2 linked regions of the Daphnia pulex genome follow. The protein of the gene in region 2 purifies or fractionates together with the protein of the main gene of each other region. This does not show direct contact. Links are inferred from orthologs where the notes say so. Each region holds a gene or a part of one and is shown on either strand. Other genes may lie near its edges.

The links. The genes of interacting proteins can lie anywhere in the genome.
Region 1: the proteins of WD repeat-containing protein 19-like (region 2) and intraflagellar transport protein 122 homolog purify together in Homo sapiens (affinity purification with mass spectrometry; 4 studies listed by BioGRID and IntAct, counting the BioPlex papers as one, with this or other methods). This does not show direct contact. The link is inferred for Daphnia pulex from reciprocal best matches to the Homo sapiens genes WDR19 and IFT122.

Annotation. Positions count from the first base shown.
Region 1 is NC_060023.1:2,443,502-2,447,017, forward strand, and holds part of intraflagellar transport protein 122 homolog, read right to left. Parts: intron 3,515-3,516; coding exon 3,435-3,514; intron 3,368-3,434; coding exon 3,289-3,367; intron 3,212-3,288; coding exon 3,014-3,211; intron 2,947-3,013; coding exon 2,858-2,946; intron 2,785-2,857; coding exon 2,676-2,784; intron 2,609-2,675; coding exon 2,471-2,608; intron 2,389-2,470; coding exon 2,086-2,388; intron 2,027-2,085; coding exon 1,293-2,026; intron 1,225-1,292; coding exon 947-1,224; intron 884-946; coding exon 739-883; intron 657-738; coding exon 557-656; intron 480-556; coding exon 405-479; intron 344-404; coding exon 40-343; intron 1-39. UniProt on the Homo sapiens protein: As a component of the IFT complex A (IFT-A), a complex required for retrograde ciliary transport and entry into cilia of G protein-coupled receptors (GPCRs), it is required in ciliogenesis and ciliary protein trafficking.
Region 2 is NC_060017.1:218,453-222,405, forward strand, and holds the start of WD repeat-containing protein 19-like, read right to left. Parts: upstream 2,803-3,953; 5' UTR 2,664-2,802; coding exon 2,643-2,663; intron 2,581-2,642; coding exon 2,426-2,580; intron 2,364-2,425; coding exon 1,928-2,363; intron 1,849-1,927; coding exon 1,562-1,848; intron 1,487-1,561; coding exon 1,368-1,486; intron 1,225-1,367; coding exon 1,124-1,224; intron 1,042-1,123; coding exon 944-1,041; intron 877-943; coding exon 735-876; intron 671-734; coding exon 536-670; intron 472-535; coding exon 322-471; intron 257-321; coding exon 109-256; intron 28-108; coding exon 1-27. UniProt on the Homo sapiens protein: As component of the IFT complex A (IFT-A), a complex required for retrograde ciliary transport and entry into cilia of G protein-coupled receptors (GPCRs), it is involved in cilia function and/or assembly.

The DNA of each region.
Region 1 (3,516 bases), on a different chromosome or scaffold from region 2:
GTTTGGGTTTCCAAGAAAAACGCTAAAGTAGAATTTTACCGAAAGAAATGAAAGAAAAGATGAAATTTTCGCCACAATGAATGCAGCAGTTTCCACGCGGATTATAAAGCGGATTGCTCATGGAGCATCGGTAACAAAGAGGAAGAAGGTCCTCTGCGTCTTGGTACGGTTGGGCGCGGATACTTAACACCGCCAAGTCGACACTCTCCTGAAACTGAACAGGTATCTTCAGATTCTGCAGCAACGTCACAGCATGCTTCGCCGTCTTGTATGCGCCTAACGTCTTGGCGTGTTTCATCAACGAATAAACCACTGCAAATTGACTGATGCCAGTTAATGGACCCTATAATCACAAAAAACGTAATCATTCATTCTACGGTTCAGATTTTCTATGAATCAATTACGTGGAGTGTTTCGTGAAGAAGATAACGCGCCATGTTAAATAACGCTTCCGGCAAGCTGGAAGTGAAAGGCTCATTCTAAAAAAAAATAATTAAAAAAAGACTTGAAAACTTCACTTTTTGTTCCGTACTAATTTAGAAGCAAAGATAATTACCGTGAAGCGATGGATTGCTTGATAAGCATAATATGCCGAACTCTTGCGTTCTAAAGCGTGAAACTGAGTAACGTGCTTCAGTGCTTCGTTTGACACTTCCCTGTTCATTAAGGTTGATTATCATTATTGTTTTTTTCATTCAGACAGTTTTTGTAGAAATGGAAATAAGACAAATAACTAACGCTTTAGCGGCCAACTGGAGCCGATGTTTGGCGAAGAGCCAGAAGAAATGTGAGGCGTCTTCGTATTTGTTTAACGCCACGGCGTTCATCGCTAGTGTGTTGAGAACTCGCTCCGCTTCCTCCAAACACCCCGCTTCGTAATAAGCTGAAAAAGCAAAAATTGTAAGACAAACCTCTTCATTTTTCTTTGAAACTCAAAATGTTTCACCTTGTTGAGCTTCGATAAATTGCTCCTGTTCGGCCAGCCAACGAGCATAAGGTAGGTAAACATTTCGACTGATATCAGGATGCTGCTTGGCGAGTGCCAGAGCTTCAGTCCAAGCGCCACACTCAACCAAAGCGGCAGCCAGAGCAGTCGTATCACCAAGACGCCGTAGGATGTCACAAGCCAGCTGGACTGATCCCAATCGACGAAGATGGTCTGCAATGATGCGTAACGTTGACGCTTGGTCCGTTGCGTCCAGTCTTCGAGACGCGTCTACAAGCCTGTACAACATTTAGAACATTTTTTAGTCCTGGATAATTTCAAAACTGATTTTTACTAATCGACTCACATGGATGTCCATCCGTTGGCAGCGATAATCTCAACAGCTTTGAGAATTTCACCAGCATTCAGGTACATTTCTGCAGCGGCTCGCGGGTCGTGAATATCTTGCGCCCAATCCGCCCGTTTTTTCAGGATGTTCATCCGTTCGGTCGTACTGTCTCCGCTGAGATACTCCTGGGCTTGATCGAAAAGGCGCAAATCGGTGAAGAGAGCCACCGCCTTGTCGCTACGGCCGCACTTGCGGTACAAGCGAGCCGCCTCGTTGAACTTTCCCTGCCACGCAAGGATGTCGCCGATAAAGACATTGTGGTTGATATTGGCCTGTGGTCCTCCCAGCCGCTTCTGATTGGCGATAGATTCCATCAGCTCCAGGTATTTGTAGTCCTGGATACGTTGGAACGCTTGTGTGGCAATGTCCAGTTCCAGCGCATTGACCGACTCGTGTGCCAGCTGTGACCAGTCGGCCTCCGTCACGCCCATACAAGCCACTTCGTAAGCTTCGCGGTAGAGCTTACGGTCAAGATACTGGTACATTGGTGCTGATAGAGGCACCTGAAGGGTGGTCATGCTGTATCCCTGCAAGCAAAATATTTTGGCGCCGTAGAATCCCACGACGTAGCCTTGAAACTTTTGCTGGTGACAGGGAAAATTCGATGCTTTGATGTTCAACCAGTTCTGACCCGAAAAGCAAAGCATATCTTCGCAATGAATGTTCCAAGCGACGCTATTAGCATGTGGCTCCTACATTCACAATTTAGGTTATTATTCTGTTGTAATCTGGGAAAAAGTTTTGGAACTACCTGAGAAATCAATTCACTGTTGCTCAATTGATAGACGGAGCAGGTATTGTTGTCATCTACAATGGCCACCTTTTGGCGTGAAGAGCTCAAGTCCAGGCAGCGGATAGGGACACTGATCTTGAGCAACTCCACCGGGAAAGGGTTATCTAAAAATATTTTGGACACCTGGCCATTCTTCAAGCCTAGCAGGAGACCCTCTTTGTTGGCCGGTCCGCCGACGATTTTTATGTAGCGCACGGGTGAATCTAACGTCCACTCGCGTTCCTTGACGCCCTGAAAGTTCACCGACTGCAGTTTCTTTTCCTGAACGAAACAAAACAAAATACCAGACAGATGTGATACGTTAGATAAAAATTTTGCAAAGAAAATCATATAAAAGATTTACGTGACACAGAATGATGTGGTTGGTACAAATGACCATAAGGCTGCATTCGAAATTCTGGCTGATTTTTTCCTTGATGACATAGTGCAGCTGTTCGCCTTCCTGTTGCTCGTAAATCATGAGTTTTTCTTGCAGCTGGACCTAGAAGAATCCAACAATAACAAGACATCATCATCCGGTCACATATTCCTGCCATTGCACGACATACCGCTAAGCGATTTTTGTAGATGGCGATTTTCTTGATAAGGTCACGGCAACAGATGCGCACTTTTTCCTCCGTCAGTAAGTGGTGGACTACCACGTCTGTCAGATGTTCTCTATTTTTCGAAATAACAAAGTAAAACGGCATTGTAAATTAAGCCCATTCACACGATCCTTATTTAGCAATACCTGAATGCGTAGCGTTCTTTATAGAGACCGTGAACGGTGCTAAATATCAGCTGGTGACAACCGACTGTTCCGTCTTCACTGCCAACGGCCTACAAGCAACGGATAAGAATTTTAACGTTTAAAAATTTTAATATGTCAAAATTTTGAATGGCTTACCACAACTGTGCTGTTTTGTTTGGTTGCCGTCGCCCAGACCCACTTGCTACACTCAGCTATGGGACCAAGAGCATATCCTTCGCTACTAAAGAGCTGACACTGTCGGTTGGATCCACAGACAAGCAGATAGTCACCACCAGCGTGACGATAAGGAACTATTCGGCAAGCGTTGAAACCCAAAGGTTTCTCCGAACGGATCTAGTAAATTCATACAATAACATTAAATTTTTAGAGGAAAGCACTTGTTGAAACAATGATATCTGATATACTCATACTTGTTTTCCGTTGGGGAGGTGGAAGGATAACGTTCTGTTACCCCAATCCGTGACACAAAGCATTTCTGCTTGGTCAGTCCTACCAAAAGAGATTGTTTTTAAATGACGAGAGGGAATTAAATTAGCATTATATAAATAATATGTACCTGTTGATGTTCCAGCACAAGGCCCATACTGGTGACTGATTGCCTCCTGGTCTTTCAATTTTAGATTTTTCATCTCCAGACT
Region 2 (3,953 bases):
AAGAACAAAGTCGTATGATGCAACTCCCTTTAGAGTGAACAAAGTGCATGGGTGTAAGAATAGCAACGCATCAATTTTTAAAAATTATATCTTTTTTTAAAAACAAACCAGTAAGTCTCTCGGCGTGATAGACAAAGACGTCAAGCTTCTCGTCACTCCAAGCCACAAACACGTGACTAATCCGACTTGCCGACTCCCAAAGTAAGCCACGATGATGAACTGGGAAATCGGGAATCCTTAACAAAATTTCCTTGACCTAAGTGATAAAAACAAGTGTAAGTAGACAAGTAGATGAGGCGGTTTTTGTCATTTTCCCGATACCGGAGAGTAAAGGTAGCCGTGATTTTTTATATCCACAGCGGCTAGAAGTGTTCCTGATGTATCATGATAGATCTTTTTCCAACCAACTGCATGGCGATATTCACTGACAGGTTTCCGCTCACTCAGCGAAAAGTACACCAAATCGCCCACCTTATATTTCCGTTGCAATTGTGGTGAGATAATAAATAAAGTGACCACTTTTAGATTATCTTACGCTTGTAACGTAGACGAGACAATCCTTAGCCAACGCATGACTCCCGATCTTGGCTGTAGAGGATTCACGCAAGGGAAATACACCGCTATCCATCAGACCATTTCCTCCGTCACTCGAAAAAGAAGCTTCTTCTATCTAATAATGGATTAAAAACTAGTTATAAAATAATTTGAAATGGAATTTAATGGGGAAAACTCACAAGCTGCAAATGAACTTTGCCATCTACCAAGGCCGCAACGTGTGTTTCATTTAAACAAATCGATTCGACCGAGCCCGCATACTGCAACTTCCGTTGTAAATGACCATTGACCGCAGAGTAAAGCCAGACGTGATTGTTCAAACTATATCATGATCAATAGTTTTCTAATTAGTATTATAACTATGATTTATTAGATAATATAAGTTTACCCAAGTACAATGGCTTTCGGACCACAGGCCAAAAATACAGGCTCCAACTCACACTGCACATTGCAGATGGTATTAAGTGCAACGTCGTACACAGTCACCTGAATTGAGAAATACGGCAGTCACACGCAAAATGTAGTGTAACAGTGAGTTATAACAGACTATTCATATTTTAGATCCTACCTCTTTAAGACTGGTGAGTACAGCAATAGTGCCGAAAGGCTGCCAAACCGATGCTAGCATATTCAGACGAGTAAGGTAGATGTAGACGTTACCGGAACTACCTATGGAAATTTAATTAACCAAAGGGTTGTTAGGTAGGGTAGGTAGGTTAAATTGAATACTGTTACATGTTGCCATGTAATATAAACATGCACTATCACAGTATTACATAGCAGCAGAAAGATTGAAGAAGCTAATATAGTACCTGTGATGGCCAGAAGACGACCGTCATTACTCCACGCACAGCAATCAATTCGATTCTCTTCTTCAACAGAAATGACTGACACAGTTTCTTTTAAATCAAGTAAATCGTAAATTCTGGCACTGTTTCAACAAGAAAAATCAGCAAACAAATTATTTGAGGTCTTTGAATTAATGCTACGTATATGTTATTATTACTTGTTATCACCAGAACAAGCAGCCCGATTTAGTGACGGACAGATAGATATAGATGAGACCATGTCTCGATGGTTCCGTATCTGAAAGAGTTCTTGTCCTATCTCCTTCAAATGGGTGGAAATTGCGATGCAGTATCCTCCGGAAAAACCGATCAGAATATATCCGTCACCAAACCATCGATATGTTGTGATGTTACCATAATTTTGCTGAAAAGCTAATTCTAACGGGTTTTCTGCGTTATTAATGTTGATTAGAATTAACGTGCGACGACCCACCACAGCACTGATCTATACAATGGCAAAAAAAAAAAAAATAATAATATGAAGCGGGTTTCTTCTTGTTCAGAAATTAGATCGCATTCAATACCGTGCTCTCTGCTGTTGAACGTTCATCTTCTTTCATTTCAGAAAACTGGATTTGAGAGGGCTCATTTCTTAGGCTAGCTGTGTGGACAGTGTCACCTTCCAAGGTACTAACTGATAGAGTTTTATCTTCAGATCCCAGAGCCAGGAGATTGTCTGAACTCCATGCTCCTGTTACAATTCGCTTGCTATGTTTTCCTAGAACTGGAATTTTCCGTCCAGCCCTTTGATTGTATAAAAGAACATTTCCCTTTGATGTACCAATTGCTAGGAAAAGACCACTTTTGCCCCAAGCCATGAAACTGAGTGGATCTCTCAAACCAGTTTCAATCTTCTCAGTTTTAAGGCTAGTTGAGTTCCACATGTAAAGAAAGGAGCTGCTATCATTAATAGCTGCAAAGAAGTCACCCTCACAATCCCAGCCAAATCCTGTGCAGGACCTGTCAACAATAAAAGTATTTGTGAGCAATAAAATCAAACCATGTGGTTCCAGTAGCTATACCCAGGCATTGTGATCACAGATTTTTGGTTTCCAAAGTGGTCATATATATGTACGGTGCGGTTTGAGCCAGTAGCTGCCCAGAGAGTACCATCGTGTGTTTGCCATTCTAATTTTACGGTTCCAACGCCGACAGGGGCCTTCAAACTCAATATCAACTGATAGATAAGGGAAGAAATTAATTTCACGAACAAGACATAAACTTTACGGGCCTGAATACCTTTTCGGTGTTAAGGTGCATGATTATTTGTCGTTTAATTATCCATCTGTATATGTTTTTTTGAAAGTACTCTCGTTACCAAGCAATCACTTTGTAAACAAACGTTTTCTCACTTGTTTACATGGCCGCCGTTAGAGGTCCCTGGCAGCACCCTAAGAGAAAAATTTTCTAAAAAGCATTTTGCCATTTTGGTTGTTGTGAATGGAAAATAACGATTTTTCTAGATGAGATTAATTTTTAATTTATTGAAAAAACTGCATAAAAATAAACTATGATTGTAACAGAATATTAAAAAGTTTCAAATTTAGAAATTTTGTTGAAAGTAAGCAGACCGAAGCAGACAACTAAAAAATAATCGAGCAGTCTATCGATACGGAAGCAGACAAGTAGTTGTTGTGTTGACCCATCATTCCATCAACCAACAACATCAACTACGTTCTCATCGTTCAGACATATTTGAAAAATAGTGGTTTTATCTACTGCGAATCTCCTCCTGCCAACTTCTTTACAAGGACAACGGAATCTCCAAGTAAGAATTCGTCAAACATTCAATGTTTTATCGTGTGCCAATCGGTTTTCGACGTATTCGATATAAAATAGTCTAAAGAATCGAAAGTCTAGAGACAAAGTGTCAGCTACAGAAAGACTTAAAATCCTTCACAGTAAAACATAGACTAAATGCTATTCAAAAGAATTATTTGTTGTTTGTGTTATGGAGTCATGATCAGTAGTATTCGAGTTATCTTGTTCAACCTTATTGTTTTGTTATGGTTGTTGTAGACTTGTAACGAGGAATCTAGTGGTTTTGATTGCATTCCTAATATCGTCTGGCTCAAATAGATTTTCATGAAATTAAGGAATTATTATTTGTCCCTAAAAGTTTAGAAAAACATTCATTGTTACTTTGTTAGGTATGTAGTTACCTGTGCAGATGAAAGATATTAAAACTTGTCATTGAAATCGACTTTCCAGATTTCCATCTTTAAATCTAGAAGAAGGTTATCAACTGTGTTATTTGCAACAGCTATGTTGTAAGTCTTAGGCTATTTGCCAAAGAGAAGTTTCAGAGTCTTCCTCCATTTTTTCTTACTTACAGTTTTTTAAAGGAAAATATTTAGTTGGAATTAATTTTGGAGTGTTTTAGGCATTTAACAAACTACAAAAAAAAAAAACATTTTCATCCTCGTGGTTCTATTAATATTATTTCGTCATTATCCCACATAAGCAAGCCTAGCCGTACTTTCCATGAATTCTTTGTTTTACATGTTTCTACTGGGATGCCACGTCGAAGTTGAATGTGAGGATTTTCTA